Cricetulus griseus: one gene and its partners. The protein of the gene in region 1 interacts with the protein of each later gene in a pairwise test. Links are inferred from orthologs where the notes say so. Each region holds a gene or a part of one and is shown in the gene's direction. Other genes may lie near its edges.

Region 1 (7,196 bases):
GTGGGTATCTGTCTTGCTCCTGATGGAAGAGGGAAATGGGTCGTTTACCATCAAGTACAATGTCAGCTGCTGGTTTTTTTAGATGTCTTTTGTCACAATGAGAGCACTCCCATCTATTCCTGCTTGCAGTGTTTGTTTTGTTTAATCACGAAAGGTATTAGATTTTGTGACTTTTTTTTTCCCTTTCTGTTTCCTAATATTTATTCCCATAGACAGGAACTGCAGTACAAGCTTGCATTAAATTCACTGTGTGACCCTGATTCTTTTTTTTTTTTTCAGTTTTATTATTGTGTATGTAATATGATGCCTGTGTGTGTGAGTGTGAGCATGCATGGGCCATGGCACACACGTGGAGGTCAGAGGACAGTTTTCAGGGGCAAGTCTCTGTCTACTGTGGGTTCCAGAGACTGAACCTAGGTACTCAGGCTCACCATACAAGCCTTCTATTCACTGAGCCATTTCACCCCCAATGTCTGATGTTTTTTACTTCCACTTCCTTGTGCTGGGATTACAGATGTCTAACAGCACACCTGGTGGATGCTGGGATTACAGATGTCTAACAGCACACCTGGTGGGTGCTGGGGTTACAGATGTCTAACAGCACACCTGGTGGGTGCTGGGATTACAGATGTCTAACAGCACACCTGGTGGGTGCTGGGGTTACAGATGTCTAACAGCACACCTGGTGGGTGCTGGGATTACAGATGTCTAACAGCACACCTGGTGGGTGCTGGGGCACAAACCCAGGGCCTCATGCATGCAAGGCAAACACTCTATCAACTGAGCTCCATCCGCAGCCATTTTATATTGATTTTTAAATTAAATCAAGCTATGATTTCTGGGATGAATCCCACTTGGCCTTTGTATATAACCTCTTTTATATGTTGCTAGATTCAGCCTGCTAGTATTTTGTTGGGATTTTTTTTCTGTATAAATAACTGATATTGGTCTATGGTTTCCTTTTTCCATTTTCTTAAATTTGTTTGTCTGATATTGGTTTCAGGATAGTATTGGCATCATCTAATGAACTGAGAAATGCTTCTTTTTCATTTTTGGAAAGACTTGTGAAAAAATCTTAAATCCTCAGTGTCAGTAGGGTCTAGATTGTAGGTGGCTGTCTGGTGAGGGTTTTTAATTATTAGCTCAGTGTCTCAAGCTGTTTCTTACTTCCCAGGAAGCTGGTTATAGACGTGGCAGTGAAAGGAGAGAGGGGTTCAGGAACATGCAAGTGGGAGTCCCGAAACTGGAGGGTTTCTCACCATCCTGGCCCCCGCTTCTCCACTTTCCCCCTTGGGTCTCCTGGGGAAACCGTCCTCCCTCTCCCTCCTGAAGGAACACTGTTGAAGTATGGACACACACTCCCCACCCCCCACCCCCCATCTCCCCACCCATCCCCCCCATCCCCCCATCCCCCCATCCCCATCCCCCATCCCCATCCCCCATCCCCCATCCCCATCCCCCATCCCCATCCCCCATCCCATCCCCCCATCCCCCCCCATCCCATCATCCCCATCCCCATCCCCCATCACCCCCATCCCCCATCCCCCCATCCCCCATCCCCCATCCCCCATCCCCCATCCCCATCCCCCCATCTCCCCATCCCTCCATCCCCCCATCCCCCCATCCCCCCATCCCCCCCGCACCCCAATTCTGGCTGGGAACGATGGCTGGGTAATATCAGGTGGCGCAGGAAGGAATGAGAGTTCAGTCAAGACAAGACAATGACAGGCAGAAACTTCGAGGTGTGTGCAGGCGTGCATGGATGTGTGCTATGCCCTGCCTTGCCATGTGCTGTGGACCTTTAGCAAAGGCGCCTCTCTGCAAAGCGGATGCGAAATGAGCTCTGAGCTATGTGAATGAGAGAGCTGTGGAAAGCTGTGCTCTCCATCCATGTTCACAGGGGAAATGGAGGGAAGCTGGCAACTGAGCTCATTTGGAGCTCATAAAGTGCTTGCCTATCGTGCACAGCCCTGGGTCTCTCTCCCAGGGAGACTGGAGAAATGGCTTGGTGGTTAAAAGGACCAGCTGCTCTTCCTGAGGACCCAGGTTGGATTCTCAGCACACACGTCAGCTCATAGACATCTAAAACTACGGTTCCAGGGGATCTGATGTTCTCTTCTGGCCCCCTCAGGTGCCAGACACCTAAGTGGAGCACAGGCATACAAGCAGTCAAAACACCCATGAACATTTTAAAAGGACACCAGCAGCTGGGCATGGCGGCACCTGTCTCACACTTGGAGGTGAATATGGGAGGTTCAGAAGTTTGAGGTCACCCTAGGGAGTTTGAGGCCAGCCTGGGAACCCTGTAGGTGCACACGCTCTGCATGCTCAAGGCAAGGGTCAGGGTGGAGGCTCTGACTACATGGGAGTGCTCCCCTATGGCTTTGCTGCCATAAGCATGTTCCTCTTGGGGTTTTGTTTTTTGAGGCAGTGTTGGCAGGTAGCACAGGCTGGCCTCAACTTATCCTCTTGCTGTAACCTCCTGAATGCTAGGATTGCATACATGTGCCACCACTCCCGGCTCTTTTTTTTTTTTTTTTTTTTTTAGGCCTTCGTGAAGCATGGTACTGAGTCTGGGGTCACTGTGCCCTCACAGAGGCAGCCACCCCTCAGCAGCACAGTCTCCTGAGGTGTGCAAGGCACTGTCCTGACCTCCATTTACCCCAAGTCTCCAGTGTTCCTCAGAAATCCCCAAATCTGCTTGTGGGAAACTAGCAGCAGATTTCTATGAGGCTGAGTGCTCCCTTTCTGCACTGATTTGCCAGCACAGAAATCCCGGGGAGTTTTTCCAAGAATTCCCACTGTTTCCAGCTTCCCTGCTTCCCAGTGGCCACAGTGGAAAGCACCTCATTCTTGGCCTACTTGATCATCTCCTTCTCTGTGTGTAAGGGCACTGGAGAAACACAGTGGATGCTAGAATTCTTAGGCCTTCCTGGGCTAAGTGAGCATGCACACCAGTAGCACACCAGCAAAGGCAAACACGTTGGGTCATCCAAGACCATTTGGTGTTTTGGGAGTAGCTGCAATGCTTTGCTTGTATTGGGTATGGACTCACCAGGCTATTCTAGGAGGCTGGGGAGTCTCCCAGGAGTGCATCCAGCTGTTCTAGGAGGCTGCAGGGCCTCCCGACCTGAGCTTCTGAGTCTCAGGGCAGATTCCAGGTCTGGATCCAAGTGCTGAGGATCCTCCTGTCTTTCCACAGAGAACACCTTCTGTAGCGGGGACCATGTGTCTTGGCACAGCCCTTTGGATAACAGTGAGTCAAGAATTCAGCACATGCTGCTGACGGAAGACCCACAGATGCAGCCTGTGCAGACCCCTTTTGGGGTAGTTACCTTCCTGCAGGTGAGATGCTGCGAGAGCTTCAGACATTTCATCCTTGTGGGGAGAGTCTAGAACACAGGTGGACTTGGAGAGGGGAAGTGGCCGGGCAGAAGGCTCCTCTTGGTCTTCTCTTCCCCATGATGGTCTGTCTGAATGCAGATGAGACGATTCCACCGTCTGCAATGGCAGGGTGGTCTTCTCTTCCCCCATGATGGTCTGTCTAAATGCAGATGAGACGATTCCACCGTCTGCAATGGCAGGGGCAAGAGCGACATCCAGCTCCAGGGTTACCGTTCCCCAGTGGGTGTGACTCTCCCCAGCTGCTGCCCATGCTTGCTTGCAGCATCTAATGAGGGCTAGGTGAAGGTTCAACTGGTATCCTAGAGATTTATACAGATACAGCTATTGCAGGAACAGCTGCCTGACCACCCCCTGCCTCTAAATACCTGGCCTGAGGGAGGCCCTGCCATGCTGTGGCTCAAGCTGCCCCTCGTTTCTTCTACAGCCAAGAGCTAGGCTCTGTGCCACTAGATACCTGGTCAGGTCTTGGTGCCTGTCTGTGGGCACAGGAACCTCCCAACTAGGTAGCACCTCCTAAGGGAGCCACCAGCCTAGAAACACAAACTTTGCCTGTGTGCCCCCTCCTTGAGATGCGCCTGAGAGAGCCTGGGTAGCTAGACATCCAGGAGGGATGGCCATTAAAACACAATGGCGTCTTGTCCTGGGCCGCAGATCGTCGGTGTCTGCACTGAGGAGCTACACTCGGCCCAGCAGTGGAATGGGCAGGGCATCCTGGAACTGCTGAGAACAGTGCCTGTGTGAGTATACGTCCCTGTAAGGTGGAGGCCTGGACCCCTGGGTCTTGGGGGTGGGTGTCCTCCCTCCATCCCACCTGAAGGGTCCTTTGCTTTGCTGTTGGAACACTCATTTCTCTATGGTCCCTGACCACTAACAGTGTCCTGTGTGTTCTGGGTGGGACAGCAAATAGGAAAGCTGCTGACTAATGATCAGTCCAGACCCTCAGGTACCTCTGTCTCTCCTTGTCCACAGTGCCGGTGGTCCCTGGCTGATAACTGACATGCGGAGGGGAGAAACCATATTTGAGATCGATCCACACCTGCAAGTATGTCTTGAGTGAGGAAAACCTTGCTAGCACACACTTCCAGATAACCACTGGCTTCCATCCCGAGAAAAAGGAGGAGCTTTGTGTGTGAGCCAGTAGAAATATGGCATGGTCTAGAATGTGTTCCCTGAATACCCCATATAAGAAAACAGATTCCAGCCCAGAAAAGCAAGCCTGTACTTTTAAATGTCTGTGTGCATTTTAAAAGAATGGATTTTAGTGTACGTAAATTATGTATCAAAATTAGACTACCACCACCAAAGGAAGGTAATCAAGGAGTATTGTCTCCTTGCCCTGTGTTCCTTTCCCTCCTCCCCCTTCTTAGCACACGTTTTTTCAGGGAGCCACCCTCCCTGTGTCTGACTGCAGCACGGGCTATGTTGACCCCTCAGCCCAGCTGCAGGGTGAGTGCTGAGTGGTCTAATGACCCTGTCATTGTAAAGGAGTCTTTAGACCCCACTGTGGCTGCCTGGACAGTGTCACTGTCACCTTTGCTGCTTGAGAACTCGAGATGCTTGTTTGGCACCCACTGGATTTTGGAAGCCACAGAGCATTGCTGCATTTCTTGCACCCTGTGTAGGGGCAGCAGAGCACATGTCTGCCTTGTGTTTGGCTCTCTCTGCTCACCGTGCCATCAGAGGCAGGTCACGGCCATCTCTGAACTTCCCAGCTTCTGCAAGGCTCCCTCAGGCCACAGCAGCGACTAGGCAGGTGAAGAGAGACATGTAGCCTGCAGCCCCTGAAGTTGGTTGCTGCTGACCTGTGAGCTTTTGGGTTCATGTCCTCTTCATTCACAGATGAGGCTCCTCCACTCTCTGGGTACCTTTAACCCTGAAATGCTCACACTGCTGCCAGGATCTTTTGTTATCTCTACTTTGAACTTACTTTCTTTGTAGCTTCTGCTTATGCAAAAGCCAGAAGTCATGACAGCTCCATCCCTAAGCCCTCCTTCTGCAGCCACACTGGGATCCAGCATGCGGCACTGTGGACTCTTGTTTGGCTCCTGTCATGAGTGCCAAAAACTACCCAAGGCTCTCTTGAGACCCCAGCCAGCAGGATCCATAACACCCTATGGTCATTACCTTCAAGCAAGAAGCCAATGGGAGAAAATGTAGCTTGTTTTCCTGTGGCCCCATTATCAGTACTATTTGCTTGTGCCTTTCTGGCACCTATGGACAGGGCAGTGGTTGGCAGGAAAACTCATGCTCTCCCCTGGCAGACCTGCTCCTGCCCACCTTTACTTAGGCATAGAGCGCCTAGAGCTGTGGCCTGCCTGCCTCCAGCCTCACCCAGGCCGAGGACAGCACCAGGAGAGAGAAGAAAGGGTGACTTATAGGGAGGAGGCCTCCTGTGACCAAGGCATAAGAACAATGTCCTTGTCTGGCAGCCCTGGACAGGGACCGGCTGGCACAGGGAAGTGTGAGCTTTTTTAGTTTTGTTTTGTTTTGTTTTTGAGGTGCATAGTCACAGGTTTACTTGACCTACATGGCTGTTTATGGACAAGGGTGCTAAAGTCTACCAGATGACCTTTGATCCAGAGCCCAGCACCACAGAACTATGTTTTACCAGAAAACCTGGGATGTTTTGAGCACAGCTCTTCCTTGAGGCCATTTGGAGAAAGTTTAGACTTAGCAGTGCCAATGTCTACACAAAGGCAGGGTCTCTGGGGGAAGTGTACAACAGTCACTGCCCTCCAGACCCCCATCTCAGCCTCAGAAGTAGAAAAGGACCCTATCCAAAACCCTTTGCCAAAGTTAGCTGGCACCTATGGACAGAGAGCACGTCTGCTCTGGAACGATGGCCCCCTCTAGCTGTTATAATGAGGAACTGCAGGTATGGGTTCCCAAGTCCCGGCAGGCAGGCTCACACCCTAACTCCTGTAGGTAGGTGGGCAATGGCCATTGTTGGATCAGGAAGAGGGGAAGACTTCATGCCTTTCCTGAGAAAAGCAGATCATATCTCAGCTAATCAGCTCTGAGGGCTCTCAGGACTAGAAGAGCCACAAAGGCCGTGGTAATGGGGGTTGATGGGAAGGAAGCATCCATGGTGCCTTCATTTCTCCTGGCTTCCCTTAATCCCGTTCCCCAGAGGAGTCCAGGGGCTGGCAGAAGCCACTGTGCATAGAGTCAGAGAACAAGGTCAAAGAGACCCTGGTCTTACAGCAGCTGTCCACACTCAGCGTCTACACAGCCAACACTAGAAGAATAGTGGCTGGGTGGGTGGGTGGGTGGTGGTATCCTTGGGCCACCAGTTCTCTGAGGGAACTCTGACTCTTTGGTTCTTTTCAAGCAGGAGAGAGTTGACAAAGGCATCGAGACAGATGGTTCTAACCTGAGCGGTGTCAGTGCCAAGTGTGCCTGGGATGACCTCAGCCGACCTCCCGAGGACGATGAGGATAGCCGGAGCATCTGCATCGGCACACAGCCCCGGAGGCTCTCTGGCAAAGGTTGGGGCCTTCCCCTGCCTTCCCCCCTTGCCTTTCAGGCTCCCTGGACAAATCTTTAACCAAACAGTCCACTCTGGTTTATTTTCTGACAAATGAATTTTTCCAGTGGGTTGAACATATGAGCTAATTTGGCCTGTTTGTAGCTGTTATCTGTGTGTGTTTCGAACACATCCGTGGGAACTGTGTGTATACCCTGCCCCTTGGAATCTGAGGCCATGTATGTTCGTGAGAGCCATGGAACAGTTAACAGAAAAAGTCCACAGTCCACCTGAAGACATGACAGCAAATGTCCACTGCCCACAG
Region 2 (7,882 bases), on another chromosome or scaffold:
TTTCTTTTGTTTTGTGTTTTTGAGACAGAGTTTCTCTGTGTAGCCTTGGCTGTCCTGGTACTTGCTATGTAGACCAGGCTGGTCTGGTACCCATAGAGATCTGCTTGAGAGTGTCCAACTCATTTGGAACTCATGGTTTTCCTGTGCTAGCTCCTGGAGCATTTGCATTACTGGTGTGGCGTGCACTGTCACATCCCAGTAGGACAGTCACATCATCAATGTGCTCCCTGGGCCTAGAACAGGCCATAGCACTAGAGAATGTGCAGTACATTTCCATTTAGGGATGGGCAGATGGGGGTGAGGCTCAGTTAGCTCAGCGCTTGCCTAACATGCATGAAGCCCTGGGTTCCATCCGCAGCACTCCATAAACCAGGCATGGTGGCATGTGCCTGCCATCTCTTAGCACTTAGGAGGTGGAGGAAGGAAGATCAGGAATTCAAAGTCATCCTTGTCTACATAGAGAGTTCAAGGCCGGTCTGGGCTACAGTGAAATTCAGTTTCAAAACAGACAAATGTGCCTGGTGAGATGCTTGGTGTGCATGAAGACCTGGCTTCTGAGCCCCAGCACACTTGCAGGAGCTGGGTTTGCTGATGCATGTCTGTACCTGCTGAGAGTGGTCTGGTGGGGACAGGACAGGATCACACAGCCTCACTGGCAACTAGTGTAGCCAGAGGGGAAACCCAGGTTGAGAGAGAGAGAGAGAGAGAGAGAGAGAGAGAGAGAGAGAGAGAGAGAGAGAGAGACCCTGTCTCAAAAAATAAGTGGGTGGGAACAAAGGCTAAGCAAAGGCTAAGTGGTCAAGGGCACTTACTATTCTTGCAGCAGACCTGGATTTGATTCCCAGCACCCACATGGTAGCTCATAGCCATCTGTAACTCCAGTTCCAGGGGATCTGATGTCCAATTCTGGCCTCCATGGACACTGTATGCAGTGGTACACAGACACACATGCCAAAAACACCCTTATACATAGAGTGAAACATAAATGGAGAAAGAGCTGTAGAGGAAGACACCTGCTATGGACCTCTGGCCTTGACACACACACTCATACACACACACACACACACACACACACACACACACACACACACACACTCACCAAAATAAGGGGTGTGGGGGGATAAAGGAGGTGTTTTGGTGGGCTCAGCAGGGGACCTTCTAGGGTAGCAGGGTTGGTGTCTGTCACTCTGGAAAGCCCCCTGGGTCTGCACAGTGCTGATTTGGGGCAGGGGGTGTATGTCCATCACCAGTTTCTGCACTGAGCCTTGGGAGGGGTTCACAGCCCAGTTTAACTGCTGGCCCATCCCCTGTGTCCCCACAGAGCCACCCTCCATGCGCCTGAAGGCCCGTCCTAGCAACTCTGGCTCCTCCATACTGACCTGTGCTGCTTTCTCCTTCTACCCTCCTGAGCTGAAGCTACGATTCCTTCGTAGTGGGCTGGCCGCAGGCTCTGGGAACAGCAGCATCGGTCCCAATGGTGACGGCTCTTTCTACGCCTCATCATTGCTGGAGGTCAAAAGAGGAGACGAACACCATTACCAATGTCAGGTGGAACACAAGGGGCTGGCACAGCCTCTCACTGTGGACCTAGGTGAGGCTGTTCATCCAGCCTCGGAGTCTTCTTGCTTCTCCTGGATACTGACCCTGTATTAACCCTACCGCCAGTCCTCCTGAATCTGACCATCTTCTGTCTCAATGTTGCTGGTCTTCATAACTTCTGATCCCTCACTTTGCCACTGACAGTCCTTGCTGCGGCTTTCAGCTGACCCTCATCTGCTTTGATGCCTCTCCTTCCTCAGTTGGGTTTTCACCCAGCCTGCTCATAGTGTGGCTGTGACTTATATGGCTATTGTTCATATATATATATATATATATATATATATATATGCGTATATGTGGTGGTGGTAGCATACCCATGTAATTCCAGCACATGCTTACATGCTTATATATTTTATTTCCCTACATTCTTTATATGGGGGGGAAAGCAGAGGTGTGCTTGTGTCATGGCATACTTGTGAAGATTATAGAACAACTTGTGGGAGTTAGTTTTCTCCTTCCTCCATGTCAGTCATGGGGATCAAGTTCAGGCCATCAGGCTGAATGGCAAAGGCAAATGCCTTTACTCACTGAGCCTTCTTGTCAGACTAGATTTCTATCTTAGAGGTCTCCCGGCACTGGATATGGTACTGGGAACCGAACTGTGATCCTCTGGAAGAGCAGCCAGTGCTCTTACCAGCTGAGCCACTTCTCTAAGCACCAGTGTGGCTGGTTCCTGTATCCAGTGTCTGCACACCCCCACCCCTCTCTGCGGGACTCCTCAGCTGCTTTCTTCCCTGTTCTCATAACGCTTTCTGGCTGCAGATGTACCAGCCAGATCTTCTGTGCCTGTGATCGGAATCGTTCTTGGTTTCTTGGTGGTCATAGTGGCTGCTGCAGGGGGTGTACTGCTGTGGAACAGGATGCGCAGCGGGCTGCCAGGTGTGTGCCAGAGGGGGAGGGGCGGTGGGGGGAGAGAGAGACAGAGACAGGCCCTGGCCACCCTGGAGAAAGAGCTGGGGTCAGAGACAAGAGTGGCCCTCATGGCGTGTGGGATGATGACACCTTGGTTACAGATGCTGACCTCTGTTCCTCTCTCTTAGCCCCATGGCTTTCCCTCAGCGGTGATGACTCAGGTGACCTGCTGCCCGGTGGCAACTTGCCCCCTGAGGCCGACCCTCATGGTGCAAATACCTTTCCAGCCACTTCCTGATGTCAACTCAGACCTCCAATACACATTGCAGCATTTGGTGCTGTGTGACCTCCTGAACTCCTGGCATCTCTGAGCCTTCTGAGGGAGACCTGGGCCAGATGTTCTCCTTGTGGACTCCTCCTTTTGTGGCCTGCCTCAGTTTCCCTTCTTAATGTACATGGCTGTTTTCCATCTCCACAAAATAAAGTTGGGTCCAAATCTGTGTGTGCACTGTTATTGTCAAGTTTCAGGCTGCAGGAATAACTGAACGAGTTTGGGAAAAGATTATAGACTTTTCCTGGTTGCCGTGATAGAACCTGTCCATTTTATATACTTAGTTGTGTATTTTTAGTCATAAATGTAAATGATACATACCTACACTGTGACAGGAATTTCAAGGAATTCAGCTTTCCTGTTCTTTCTCCTTTCTTTCTTTCTTTCTTTTTTTCTTTCTTTCTTTCCTTCTTTCTTTCTTCCCTCCCTCCCTCCCTCCCTCTCTCCCTTTCGAGATAGTGTGTCTCTCTCTAGTCGTAGCTGTCCTGGAACTCGCTATGTATATACCAGGCTAGCACCGAACTCATAGAGATCCACCGCTTCTGTCTCCCAAGTGTAGGAATTAAAGGCAAGAGCCACCAACCCCTACCTCCTCCCTAAACCAATCTGAGAAATAAGAAAATGGCTTAAAAAATACTTTTCCCTTAATCTTCTGGGGCCAGAGCCTCTGGAGGTGGCAGTGAAGGTTGCCCTAAGCCTGCTGGGAGTTGTAGTTCAAGACTGCTTTCCAGGCTAGCGCTCCGCCGTGTGGACGTGGCGAGGGGCTCCCGGGACACTCTTGGCGCTCATTGGCTCCGCTATTGATCAGAGGGCGGGGCCTCTGGGCTGCCAGGGGCGGAGCTTGACTGGCGCCGCGCCAGGTTGGGCATCCTTGCTGGAAAGCGAGTTCACCGTGCTTCTCGAACCCAGGCCTGGTAACGGGAGTAAAGGTGGGGAGCTAGCCAGGGAGGGGGTTTCGGGTGGGGGTCGCGCGCGGTCAAGGCTGGGAGCCACGCAGAGGACCCTGCATGATGCTTTCAGCCACCACCATTCCCTGAGCTTTGCATGAACGTGCCACGTCTCCAACTGAACACCCACCAGCTTCTCCCCACCTGCAGACTCCCTATTCTTTTTGCCGACTTTTCTTGAGCCCCAAACCTTGTAGCCTGCATATATCTGCCATGCGTTAGGCAGCCCCTAGCTTTGAAGTTCTCTCCATATTTCTGGTTCAGATTTTTACCCCCGTATGATCCTCTGACCCCACTTCTCCCCAAGGACCGACGATGTGGCGATGGTCGCTTCTGTTGCTTTTCTTGCTGCTGAGGTGGTGGGCCCTGGGGAAGCCATCCCCTGACGCCGGGCCTCATGGCCATGGCAGGGTGCATCAGGGAGCCCCCTTGAGCGAGGCCCCCCACGATGACGCCCACGGCAATTTCCAGTACGACCACGAGGCGTTCCTAGGACGAGACGTGGCCAAGGAATTTGACCAACTCAGTCCAGAGGAAAGCCAGGCCCGACTCGGGTAGGATGCCGGGAGCCGGGCAGAGGTGGGAGGTGGGGGAGAATTGAACTCACTGAAAAGGTCAGAGGCAGGAGACTGGACAGAACTGTGGTACTCACCTCCTGGGCAAAGGCAGAGTTAAACCTGAGGCTGTGGGGGACCTGTGTCACCAACACCCCTCTACTTCCATGCCTCTGTCTGGACTTTCCTATTCTGTCTTAGCTTCTCAATTGGTCACCAACTCTTCATAGAGACTGAAGAAATGAAATTTGAGAAGGTTCCCAAGCTCAGAATTCAGATTCAACTGGGAGGGATGGAGTCCGAGACTCCATCTGGAGGAGATTGGCCTGTATCTGTGTGGAGGACACAGTTAGCATGGCCCTGGAGACAAGAAGGCCACTCTTTGCATATATGCTTTAGAATTATCATCATCGTTATTTTGAGATAGAAACTCACAGTGTAGCACTAGCTGGCCTGGAACTCATTATGTAGACCAGAGTGGTCTAGAATGCAGAGATTCGCCTGCTTCTGCATCCTGGGTGCTGGGATTAAATAAAGGTGTGCGCCACCAGGCCCGGCTAACCAGTTGTAATTTTAAACTGGGCCAGTAGTGGCATTGAAAGGTTGCGGGACTGACCTGGAGACAGAGGACCCAAATTGATCTGCCCGTTCAGGGAAGTGGGTGGAGCTCGAGTCCACAGGCAGGCTGAGCCTGACCGAGTGGCCGGCCCTGAGATGGCAAGAGGTGGAGCTTCAAGGTTAATTGAGACTAGGGTGCGGGTAAGAGGCCGGACAGACTCGCTGTTACCACTTCAACTCAATTCACCTAGGGTTGAGGTCTGTGCAGAGCTTTGAGGAGGGGTTAGAGTAGAGGGTGTGGCCTTGGTTTGAGCCAGGTGCTAATCCACATCTCCTGTAGGGGAAGGGCTAGGCGAAGAGCGCGGGCGTCTGGATGGGCTGGATGCTGAGATTAAATGTGTCTCTCAGTTCATCTGGTCCCCTTTCGAGTTGCGCACGGCAGCATCTCTGAGGAACCGAGTTAGTGCGGGCAAAGACCTGCCAGTGACAACCTCCTCCTCATACTGGCTGGAGCACAGCTTTAATCCCGGCACTCAGGAGGCAGAGGCAGGCGGATCTCCGTGAGTTCAGGACCAGCCTGGTCTACAGAGTGAGTTCCAGGACAGCCAGAGACTACACAGCGAAACCTTGTCTTGAGAAACAAAATTTCTCTCGCGCGTTGTTTTTGTTTTCTTTTGAGACAGAGTCTCTCTACATAGCCCTGGCTGTCCTGGAGACTAGGCTGGCCTCGAACTCACAGAGATTCTCCTGCTGGGATTAAAGGCGTGCATTACCTCACCCCACTTTTTTTAATTTTAAAAAGATTTATTTATGTTAGAGTATGACTGTGGGTGTCTTTCCTGCGTGTATGTGCATCATGAGTGTCTTTCCTGCGTGTATGTGCATCACGAACATGTCTGGTGCTCACAGAGGCCAGAAGAGGGTGATGGACTCCCTGGAACTGGAGTTTCAGATGCTTTTGACTCAAACCCCAGGTCTACAAGAGCAGCCAGGGCTCTTAACCAACCGAGCCATCACTTAAGTCCCCATTTTTTGGTCTTATGTAGGTACAAGCGTGTCTCTGCCTGCACGAAAGGAAGGGGCTTAGGTGGGCGAGGGTCAAGATTGAGATTGACTGCATCTCTATTCTAGCGTTGGGGCCTCATTGGGCAGGGAATGACACTTGTTCCCCTTGCAGGCGGATCGTGGACCGCATGGATCTTGCTGGAGACAGCGATGGCTGGGTGTCCTTAGCCGAGCTCCGCGCGTGGATCGCTCACACGCAGCAGCGGCACATCCGTGACTCGGTGAGCGCTGCCTGGCACACCTACGACATGGACCGCGACGGGCGCGTGGGTTGGGAGGAGTTGCGCAATGCCACGTATGGCCACTATGAGCCGGGTATGCCACCTTACCTTTGACCTTTGACCTCTCTTTTAGGACTTTATCACTGATACTTCTCCATTTCTGATCTGGCTTGTTCTTCCTTCTGAGATCCATCCTATGTGACAAGTTGACTGGAGACTTAACATTCCAGATCAGGAACACTTACCATCTGTGTGCTGTTGTCCTGACCCCATCTCTGTTTCTTTTTGGGACAGTCTTTCTATGCATTTCTGGTGTCTTAGTGTTGCTGTGGTGGAACATCCTGACCAGAAGCAAGTTGGAGAGGAAAGAGTTTATTTGGCTTCTGCTTCCACGTCATAGTCCATCACTGAAGGAAGTCAGGACAGGAACTCAAGCAGGGCAGGAACCTGGAGGCAGGAGCTGATGCAGAGGCCTGGGGAGTGCACCTTACTGACTTGCTCCCGTGGCTTGTCTGTTTTGTTTTTCCAGACAGGCCTCACCTCTGTGACCATGCATCTCACCCACCTCTTCCTTTCCAGGGGAGGAATTTCACGATGTGGAGGATGCTGAGACCTACAAGAAGATGCTGGCTCGGGATGAGAGGCGATTCCGGGTGGCGGACCAGGATGGGGACTCCATGGCCACCCGGGAAGAGCTGACGGCCTATCTGCACCCTGAGGAGTTCCCACACATGCGAGACATCGTGGTTGCTGTGAGTGAGACTGCAGAGAGCCTGCTTCCCAAACCTGTCCTAGGTCCCCATATCTTCCACACAGATTCCAGGCCACCAACATAGATGTGGGGACAGCAGCCTCCCCGTCTCCTCCACACCCAGAGCCTGGTATCTCCTTGTCAGACCTGCTTGTGCTCTCATTGGTGTCCAGTCCCTGGCCCATGCCCAGACAGCCACATCCTCGGAAGAGCCTCAGGTGAACCCCAGTAGTGTCTGGGCCCCAGAAAAACATAGTTTATTTGACATGCACTTATCATACCCCATAAGTTAAGTATGTCTCAGATACCAGGTGTGGAACAGATAGTTGTAAGCTGCCCACTGTGGGTGCTGGCAACTGAACCCAGGTCCTCTGTAGGACAGCCAGTGCTTTTGTTTTGTTTTGTTTGTTTTTTGAGACAGGGTTTCTCTGTGTTGCCCTGGCTATCCTGGAACACACTCTGTAGACCAGGCTGGACTCTTTGAACTCACAGAGATCCACCTGCCTCCTGTGTGCTGGGATTAATGGCGTGCGACACCACGCCTGGCTAGCCCTGGGTTTATAATTGTGTACCACCCAGGCCCATTGTATGTGGGTCTTGAGTAACCCAGCTCAGGCCTCCATGTTTTTGTGGCACTGCAGTTTACCAACTACACTGTCTTCCCAGATCCTGAAGGTGTTTTGTAGGGTAGTTGATAGAATCCAGTGAATATGCTAATCAAGGCCTGTACTTCTGAGCCACACCCCCAGGACTTCACTGGGGGATTCTGGGTAAGGGGCTTTATTGCTGAGCCACACCCTCAGTATTTGGTTGCATCATCTTCTACTGAATTAGTTTGAATGTAAAAGTGGGGAACATGCTGGGCGTTGGTGGTGCACGTCTTTAATCCCAGCACTCAGGCGGCAGAGGCAGGCGAATCTCTGTGAGTTCAAAGAAGGCTAGCGTGGTCTACAAAGCTACACAGAGAAACCCTGTCTGGAAAAACAACAACAACAACAACAAAG
Region 3 (7,969 bases), on another chromosome or scaffold:
AAGCTCAGGAGAACATACTGTATGATGCCATACATTTGGAATTTTTTAAATGTCAAAATTATCTGAATAGATTAGTGGGTGACACCAACTGATGTGACTGGAGGCATTGATTACAAAGAGGCAATGTAAAGAAAATGTTTCAGAGAGCTTGTAATATTTTGTATCATGACTGCCATGATAGGTTTATGACTATATAAATTTGCCTCACTAAAACCATATTTTCAGAAGCGTGAACTTTACTGCATGAGACTTAAAAGGAATAATAATAATTGTATAAAACGGACAATGTGAATGCAGACACATTGGTTGAAGATGTATGTGGTTTTCATTAGATTCAACTCTCCATTTTGTAAATAAAAACACCAATTGCTGATGTAAAATTCAAAATTTTAATATTGGAAAAAATGAATCATATCTGAATTCATGATAGATTTGTGTACTCATCCAATTTGTAAAACAAAAGATTCAAAGAATGAATAGTTGTTAGTGAATTTTCAAATAACTTAAGCAGCGAGAACATTACTAATGCATTAGCCTGGATTTAAGTATGACATCAAGTATGTAGGAACAGTGTCATATCAGATTTTATTTGAAATATTTCCACATGAATATATGGTCTCGGCTATTGGGAACATCTAAAGAAGTAGTCATTCTTAGAATCTGTTTTCTTTAAGTACTCCTAAAGCAACAAATTTAAATATTTAGTCATTGCTCTGATTACTTGAATATGAAATACTGAGCATAATTTATCTTTTTTTCATTAGCTCAGAGTCCTCATTAAAACGTTGAATCTTAAACCTAAAAAGAACATGAGAAATTCAGTACTTGAAATTAATAATTTAATGTTTTATTTATATTACCAATATAAATATTACATTGTTGAAAATTTGAGAAAAGTGAACCAAAATTTCTGTTTTGTTGGAACTGAGATTAATTAGTAGGCAAGTCAAATTTTGCAACCCAGCATTTTACACAACACGAACAGTATGCTCAAGGAAATTAAGTTATTTACTGAATAGTAAGCATTTCAACTTAGGTAGCATTCAGGTTGTCTTATTCCCATGGTCTGGTGTGTGCTGGGTGGCTGGGAGATGCATAGAATGTAAGACTAGAAAATCTTGAGGTAAGGCTAAATGATTCGTGATTTCAATATTTGGTCACCCAATTCAGACCATCTTTCCATTCCATGCTGATCCACTGACTATAATCGATGGCATGCTGTTTTGTTTTTTACATAAAGTGATCAGTTTTTAAAAAGATTTTTCTAATTATTACTGATTTGTAAATGGTTAACAAATTTGGCTGTATGTTCCTTTAAGGTAGACAAACATAGCTAGTATGGGTAGATATAATGACATCTTGTTCAGATGGGTTATCTAGTTGTTACAGTAAAGAATGAATTTATGTAACTTGAAAAAATAGCTCCTTTGAGCAAAGTGTCTTTTTGCTATTGGTGCTGAATTTAAGGGAAAGACTAATATTCCTTAGCATTTCCTGTTACCAAAATTATAGATGTATTTGGTGCTCAGTCTCTTACATTTGAATATTATCAGTTATCAGTGGAGACATTCTTTATAAGGATCATATTGTATTTGGGTAAGTGTAATGATTGCAGTCAGCCAATAAGAAAATAGTCCATCCAGTATTTCTAGGGAGGTATCCTCACACTTGGGTATCACCTACATCCTGCAGTTTAGGTTTTTGCTGTAGGTACAGCTGCACAGGAAAGGATCAGAGTGATTATTCTAATTATGCATTCATAATTTAAAAATTTCCACCCTCAGAATCCATTGCATGATACCTGGTTTCTAAATCAGATGAGGTATTTCAGGTATTTGACTTCCATCTTCTGGATCATCTTCTGCTTGTAGTTGAACCATTTAGGTAAACTCAAGAGTTGGAAGCCATAATAGTCAAAACTGTTTTGATGGATACTGTCCCTACCTACTGTTACAATCATCCTTGAGTGTTTGGTCAAGTTGACATCCACATTACTGAACATCCTTCAGAACTCTCCTTCAGAAAGTTAATGGAGGTCTTTATTTCTAAATGTTCCTCAAAGATACTCTACTGTTATTTCTCTTGTGGCCTCTCCTACATTTAATTTTCTCTAATCAAATCTCTTAACAGTTAGAGAAGGGCTTGTGTGAGCAAGGAAGAAAGTAAAAAAAAATAACAATAACAAACTGTAGTATATGGTTATATTTTATAGTTCACTGATTTTTATTGGATATATTTACTATAGTAAGTATTCAGAGTAGAGTAAAATAATTTGTATTTCCATATTAATGAACTTGATTGTTTTAATACATTATATACTTGGAAAATATTTAGTTTGACTGAGGTTGTTTTGTTATGGCAGTTTTCCTAATTTTAATGAACCACTTTCCTCAGGAAAGTCTTTGTGTGACAGATTTTTAAATAAAAACCTAAAGCTCCCTTAATCAAATTATAAATGTTCTTTATAAAATGCATTACTATGATTCATCCTTTTAAAAGTAGAGTTTGCCCTACCATTTACCTGTGGAATACACAAAGTTCTTAGCCCTTTGTATTAAATATCTCATCTATTGGCAGGAAAAGTAAACTGCCTAATTTTGATTAATTCAATTGAATTTAAAAGTTCAGAGTTTCATCAGGCGTTGGCAAATGCCTTTAATCCCAGCACTTGGGAGGCAGATCGCTATGAATTTGAGGCCAGCCTGGTTTCCAGAGTGAGTGCCAGACTAGGCTCCAAACATACACAGAGAAACCCTGTCTCAAAAAACAACAACAACAAAAAGTAGAGTTTCCACATGTTTTTAATAATTTTAAAAGTTATACTGATTTTGAATTTTCATTTAAATACTATAGTTATTAAAATAATTAGTTTGATTAGTATTACATAAAGCAAAGGCACATTCATGGTTATTAGTCCCTATGCTTTGTTTCTAATTTTTAATGAAATGTTTTGTTGAGCTGAGGGTGTTTGTGAACCTTTGTAAATCCAGCACTTGCTAGAATCAGGAACATAAGGAATTGGAGACCAGCCTGGGCTACATGAGTTCCTATCTCAAGAGCAAAAACAAAACAAAGAAAAAATTTAAAAGAGAAGTTTTTAAATATATAATAAAACTCCTTATATCTCAGAATGAGAAAAAAAGTTCCCTTTGTTTTTGAGCATGGCTTCTGACTGTTATAAGACGTATGCCAGATGCTTTCTTTGACAAAGAACAGTGAGTGTCCCTGTTGATAATTGACTGTGTATGGCTAACACCATCTCTGGCTTTACTAGCCATAAATATTTATTTCAGTGAAAACCGTTTTTCCCATGTACTGACACTAACCAGATAAGAACCCGCCTCCCTTTTTACTTTTACTTTTACGTTTTCTATGTTTCTGACTTTGAAGTTTGTGCTTTTCTGAGCAAATTAAATGTTTGTATATATTTTTTTCAGGGAGAAGCTGTCTCCTTTTAGCACACAAATAACAGCCCATTCCTGGGGATTAATTTATTTAAATAAATTGTGCAGCACAAGCACTGAGATTGTATCAATAAAACAAAAGTGTTCAAATTCTACACCTCCCAATTTTTTATTGCAATTTTCAGAGTATCTTTTTTTATTTTTAGATGAATCTACGTTCTGTATTTACTGTAGAACAACAAAGGATTTTACAGCGTTATTATGAAAATGGAATGACAAATCAAAGTAAAAATTGCTTTCAGCTCATATTACAGTGTGCACAGGAGACTAAGCTGGACTTCAGTGTAGTCAGGGTAAGTATTGAGGTCTTGCACTTGAATTTATAGCTTTTTATTACAAATGATATTTGCTTAATATAAGAAAAACTATTCAGGGTATGAAGTCCTAACTTCATACACAGCTTCATTTCCCTAGTGTAAAAATACTATTTTGATAAATAGAGATACCACACACAGTCATATTCGTTCTCATAAATACCTTGGAAACACTAAAACCCTTGCAGTATGACATATCTCTTATATAAATCTTTGAACTAATAAATACTGGTAACATTAATTATGGGATGTTGATTATATGCTTTTTAGAAGCTCTCATTTAATACACATAGAGCCTCCACATTAATAGTGAAAGAGATTTTTGGAAGCATTTGCATGTACCTAGCTTTGTTGTTGTTGTATTTAGACTTTTTCCTCAGACATTTAGGATTTGAGCATTTTTTAATTTTTCAGGAAAGTGCAGTTGTTTTTATGGATACCTTTTCTTTCCAAGTAAAATGTATATATTTAATGGTTTGTGAGTAAGAGACAGGAAATCCCAAGGGAAGAAATTATTGAATCCATTCTTATCCTGTTATGAAAAAAATCAAAGCTGCTACACATTACTGAACAGCAATGAGGTGATAGAGAGGAGGCAAGTGATAAATCTAACAGAACTAGTGACCAACTTTATTGAATGCATTGGTCCTTTCATGTTTATTTAAACAGTTTACAAATCCTTTTAGTGTGGAACCTTAGTGATTCAAAGATTCACAACTTTCCCGCACACGGCAGGCTTTCGGCTAATTTTGAGGAAAAGGGATATATCTTTTTCAAGTTTATTGTGCTGTACAATCATACCTCCAAAGATCCTAGAGAAAAGATTTTTGGATAGAACTGTTTCCAAAGTTCTTCAGAACTAAAGTATTTATTTCACATTCAAACAGAAATTATGCTGTTTATTATAGGGAAAAGTATTCTTATGGTCTGAGATTAACTATCGGATTCCCATTTCTGTCAAAACTAGAAATGTCTTCTATTGATAACTTTAAATTACTACTGAATCTCAAAGAAAAATGTTTAATAACTTTACTAAAAATAAAATATGGGGGCTGGAGAAACAGTCCAGATGTCCTGAGTTCAGTTCCTGGCAACCACATGGTGGCTCATAACCATCTGTAATGATATCTGGTGTCCTTTTCTGGCCTGCAGGTACATGTGCAGGCAGAACACTGTATACATAATAAATAAATAAATCTTTAACAAATAATTAAATATTTCAAGTTGTTGAGATTGCACTTTATACAAATAAACTTTTTTTCCAAATGTTATTTCCTCGGACTTTTTTTTCCCTTTTGTCTTTGCATTACTTTAAAGTAAATTGTCTTCCCAGGCAGCTGCAATGTGGATCATCTCTCATATTTCAAAGTTGTCAATTGCACTATTCCCCTTTATAACTAATTTTATTGTTTTTGACTATAGAGATTGTAGAAATATAGATATTTATATTTATACTGAGTGTGAAGTGAAAATCTAAAACAATGAGAATAGATTTCAATTCTTAGAATGTAGGATTGTGAGTATAACACTGTATAAGATATAAGGAATTTTGTAAAGCAATCAGTTCTCCATTCCAGGAAAACATCAGTGGCACAAAAATGCATTGTTTTGAATTTCCATTCTTTTTCCAATCAGTCAAAAGCTCAGCAAAGTAGTTTGCAGATTTGCAAATCTATGATCTCCCCCATCTTTTGCTGTTTATGTGTCCCACTTGAAAGAGATCATTATTACTTTTAATATAAAGTTATTGTGTTTTTCCTCAGAAGAACGTAAGTCCATTATATTTAGTATTCACTCTAAGTGTAAAGTGAATTTAAGAGGTTGAATAAAACATCCAAACAAAAATAGTCAAAATGAAGAAAACAAACAGTGAGATATAGAAAAAGGTAAAGAAATTTAGAACATGAATGTATGAAAATGCTATAATGAAACCTATTTTTTGTATGCCAATCCTCCTTCCAAAAAAAGAATAAAAATGTTCTGATATTAAGTAGTGGTAATGGTTATAGAATGATGATGATATTTTTACAAAAATATTGTGTTGAAAGAAGAAATTTAGAGGTAGTACATTTTTAAGATAAAACTGAAAGAATTTTATAGCTTACAAATATTGGCAACTCAAATTCATTTCTTTTTTCCTGTGTATAGTCTGTTTGCTAGATCGTCACCTTAGATTATCATAACCCCTGTTTTGTACGGCATATTTTTCATTTTCTTTTTGATGAATTAGGTATTTGCAAAGGGTGGGTGCTTATATCTAAGAAGCATAAGTTTTAGATCCTATACCTGAGCAGCTTAGGGTAAGGTTTAATTACTGTAACCCCCAAACAATGAGTTTTCTTTACTTTTAACATTTTAAGTACAAGCATTTCTTAAGTATATATTTTTGTACTTTTCAATAGGGAACTTGGGAAATAATTGAACTCTTAGTTTTTCATTGCTGTTTAATGATTTCTGATTAAATGTTTTTATTAGGATATGTCAATTATGCTTACTAATGAATTTCATTTCATTATTTTTATGATTCTGCTCTGTATCTCTTCTGGATCAGAAGTGTAATTTTTGAAAACACTATATGGCTTTTTCAATGCACTCCTGAGCTGGATGTGGTGGTGCATACCAGTAATTGCAGCATAGGGGGCAGAGGCAATGTGGTTCTCAAAGCCGGACTATCGACATAGCTCAACCCTGTCTCAAAAAAGAAGTTGCTCAAATGTATAAACTTCAAAGACTTAAGAAAGCAGATATTGCAACAAAAGCATTAAAATAAACCCCAAAATTCTATAAATTCTAAAATCTACTCTTGCAGGAAAATACCATCCACAAAAATAGTCTTTAAGGTTGTTTGAATGTTCTAAATGTTTATAACCTAAAGAGCTGTAATTTGTTATATCTGTAAGGTGATTGATAAAATGTCAATATACAGATTTTTTCATTGAGATCATAATATAATCACATTTCTCCCTTCTTTTTCTTCGCCCCAAGCCCTCCTATATACCCTCCTCATTATCCCTCAAATTCATGGCCTCTTTTTTACTTATTGTTATTGCATGCATGTATGCATATGTATATACATATATTCCTGAGTATAACCTGTTCAGTCCATATGTTACTTGCATGTATGTTTTCAGAGCTGACCATTTGGCATTGTAAAACCAGTTGGTGTGCTCTTCCCTGGGGCAGACTTTTTGTCCCACTCTAAGCTTTCCTAAGCTGATTATAGATCTTTGTATAGGGTTGAGACCTCATATTTTTTAAAATAAGCACTCTAAAATCAGGTGTGGTTAGGGACACACCTTTAATCCTAGCACTGGGGAGAAAAAGGCAGGGGAGAATCAGGAGTCCAAGATCACATTTGGGTACATACCATGTTGAGGACATCCTGAGGTTCATAAGATCCTTACAAAAAAACAAAACAAGAAAAAACCTGCAAGCATTTAGTGTGCAATGAGAATTCTTCAGAACTAAATTAGGAATTTTATTGCTTATATTATGTGAAAAAGTTTTCCTTTTGAGATTATATTCCTCCCACAAAATTTACTCCAAGTATCTTATTTCAATTAATTGTGAAACATTTTTGCAGTCTCTACTATGCAGTATTTATTTAAAAGCATGAATTCAAGCATGGAGGCGTGGCTATGCATACTTGTGATCTTAGCACTTGGAAGGTGGAAACAGTGTTTAGAAATGTGTGCTCATCCTGTACCATATAGTATGTTGTGGAATATAGTTTAAGTTGTGTTACATTCATTTATACTGTGGAATATTTGTTTAATGATGCAAAGATGTGTTGCATTTGTTTAACTCTGTGATGCTGTGTTACTTTGTCTTCCTAGAAAACCTGATTGGTCTAATAAAAAAGCTGAATGGCAAATAGCTAGGCAACAGAGGGATAGTTGGGGCTGCCAGAGAGAGAGAATAAATATGAAGAGAAAGGAGAATGAGGATTAGAGAAAAAGGAGAAGGAGAGAAGATACCAGGGGCCAACCACACAGCCACACAGTCACACAGTCACACAGCCACACAGCCACACAGCCAGCTATGGAGTAAGGAGGGAAGAAAGACATATAGAATAGAGAAAGGTATAGCCCAGAGTAAAAAGGTAAATGGGATAATTTAAGTTAAAAGCTGACTGGAAACAAGCCAAACTAAGTCTGGGCATTTGTAAGTAAGAATAAGTCTCGGAGCTGG

What was found.
Region 2: the proteins of Sufu (region 1) and Rcn3 interact in binary tests that used the Homo sapiens proteins (3 or more experiments, as listed by UniProt). The two-hybrid records come from large-scale screens. The link is inferred for Cricetulus griseus from reciprocal best matches to the Homo sapiens genes SUFU and RCN3.
Region 3: the proteins of Sufu (region 1) and Hdx interact in binary tests that used the Homo sapiens proteins (3 or more experiments, as listed by UniProt). The link is inferred for Cricetulus griseus from reciprocal best matches to the Homo sapiens genes SUFU and HDX.

Annotation. Positions count from the first base shown.
Region 1 is NC_048596.1:15,123,422-15,130,617, reverse strand, and holds part of Sufu (suppressor of fused homolog), read left to right. Parts: intron 1-3,202; coding exon 3,203-3,345; intron 3,346-4,056; coding exon 4,057-4,142; intron 4,143-4,374; coding exon 4,375-4,447; intron 4,448-6,736; coding exon 6,737-6,893; intron 6,894-7,196. UniProt on the Homo sapiens protein: Negative regulator in the hedgehog/smoothened signaling pathway. Down-regulates GLI1-mediated transactivation of target genes. Down-regulates GLI2-mediated transactivation of target genes. Part of a corepressor complex that acts on DNA-bound GLI1.
Region 2 is NC_048599.1:153,966,078-153,973,959, reverse strand, and holds the start of Rcn3 (reticulocalbin-3), read left to right. Parts: upstream 1-3,523; 5' UTR 3,524-3,711; intron 3,712-4,036; 5' UTR 4,037-4,044; coding exon 4,045-4,283; intron 4,284-6,018; coding exon 6,019-6,221; intron 6,222-6,706; coding exon 6,707-6,879; intron 6,880-7,882. Other genes in the region: Fcgrt (IgG receptor FcRn large subunit p51), read left to right, coding at 1,322-1,591, 2,362-2,478, 2,640-2,749. UniProt on the Homo sapiens protein: Probable molecular chaperone assisting protein biosynthesis and transport in the endoplasmic reticulum.
Region 3 is NC_048604.1:60,282,745-60,290,713, forward strand, and holds the start of Hdx (highly divergent homeobox), read left to right. Parts: upstream 1-3,610; coding exon 3,611-3,757; intron 3,758-7,969.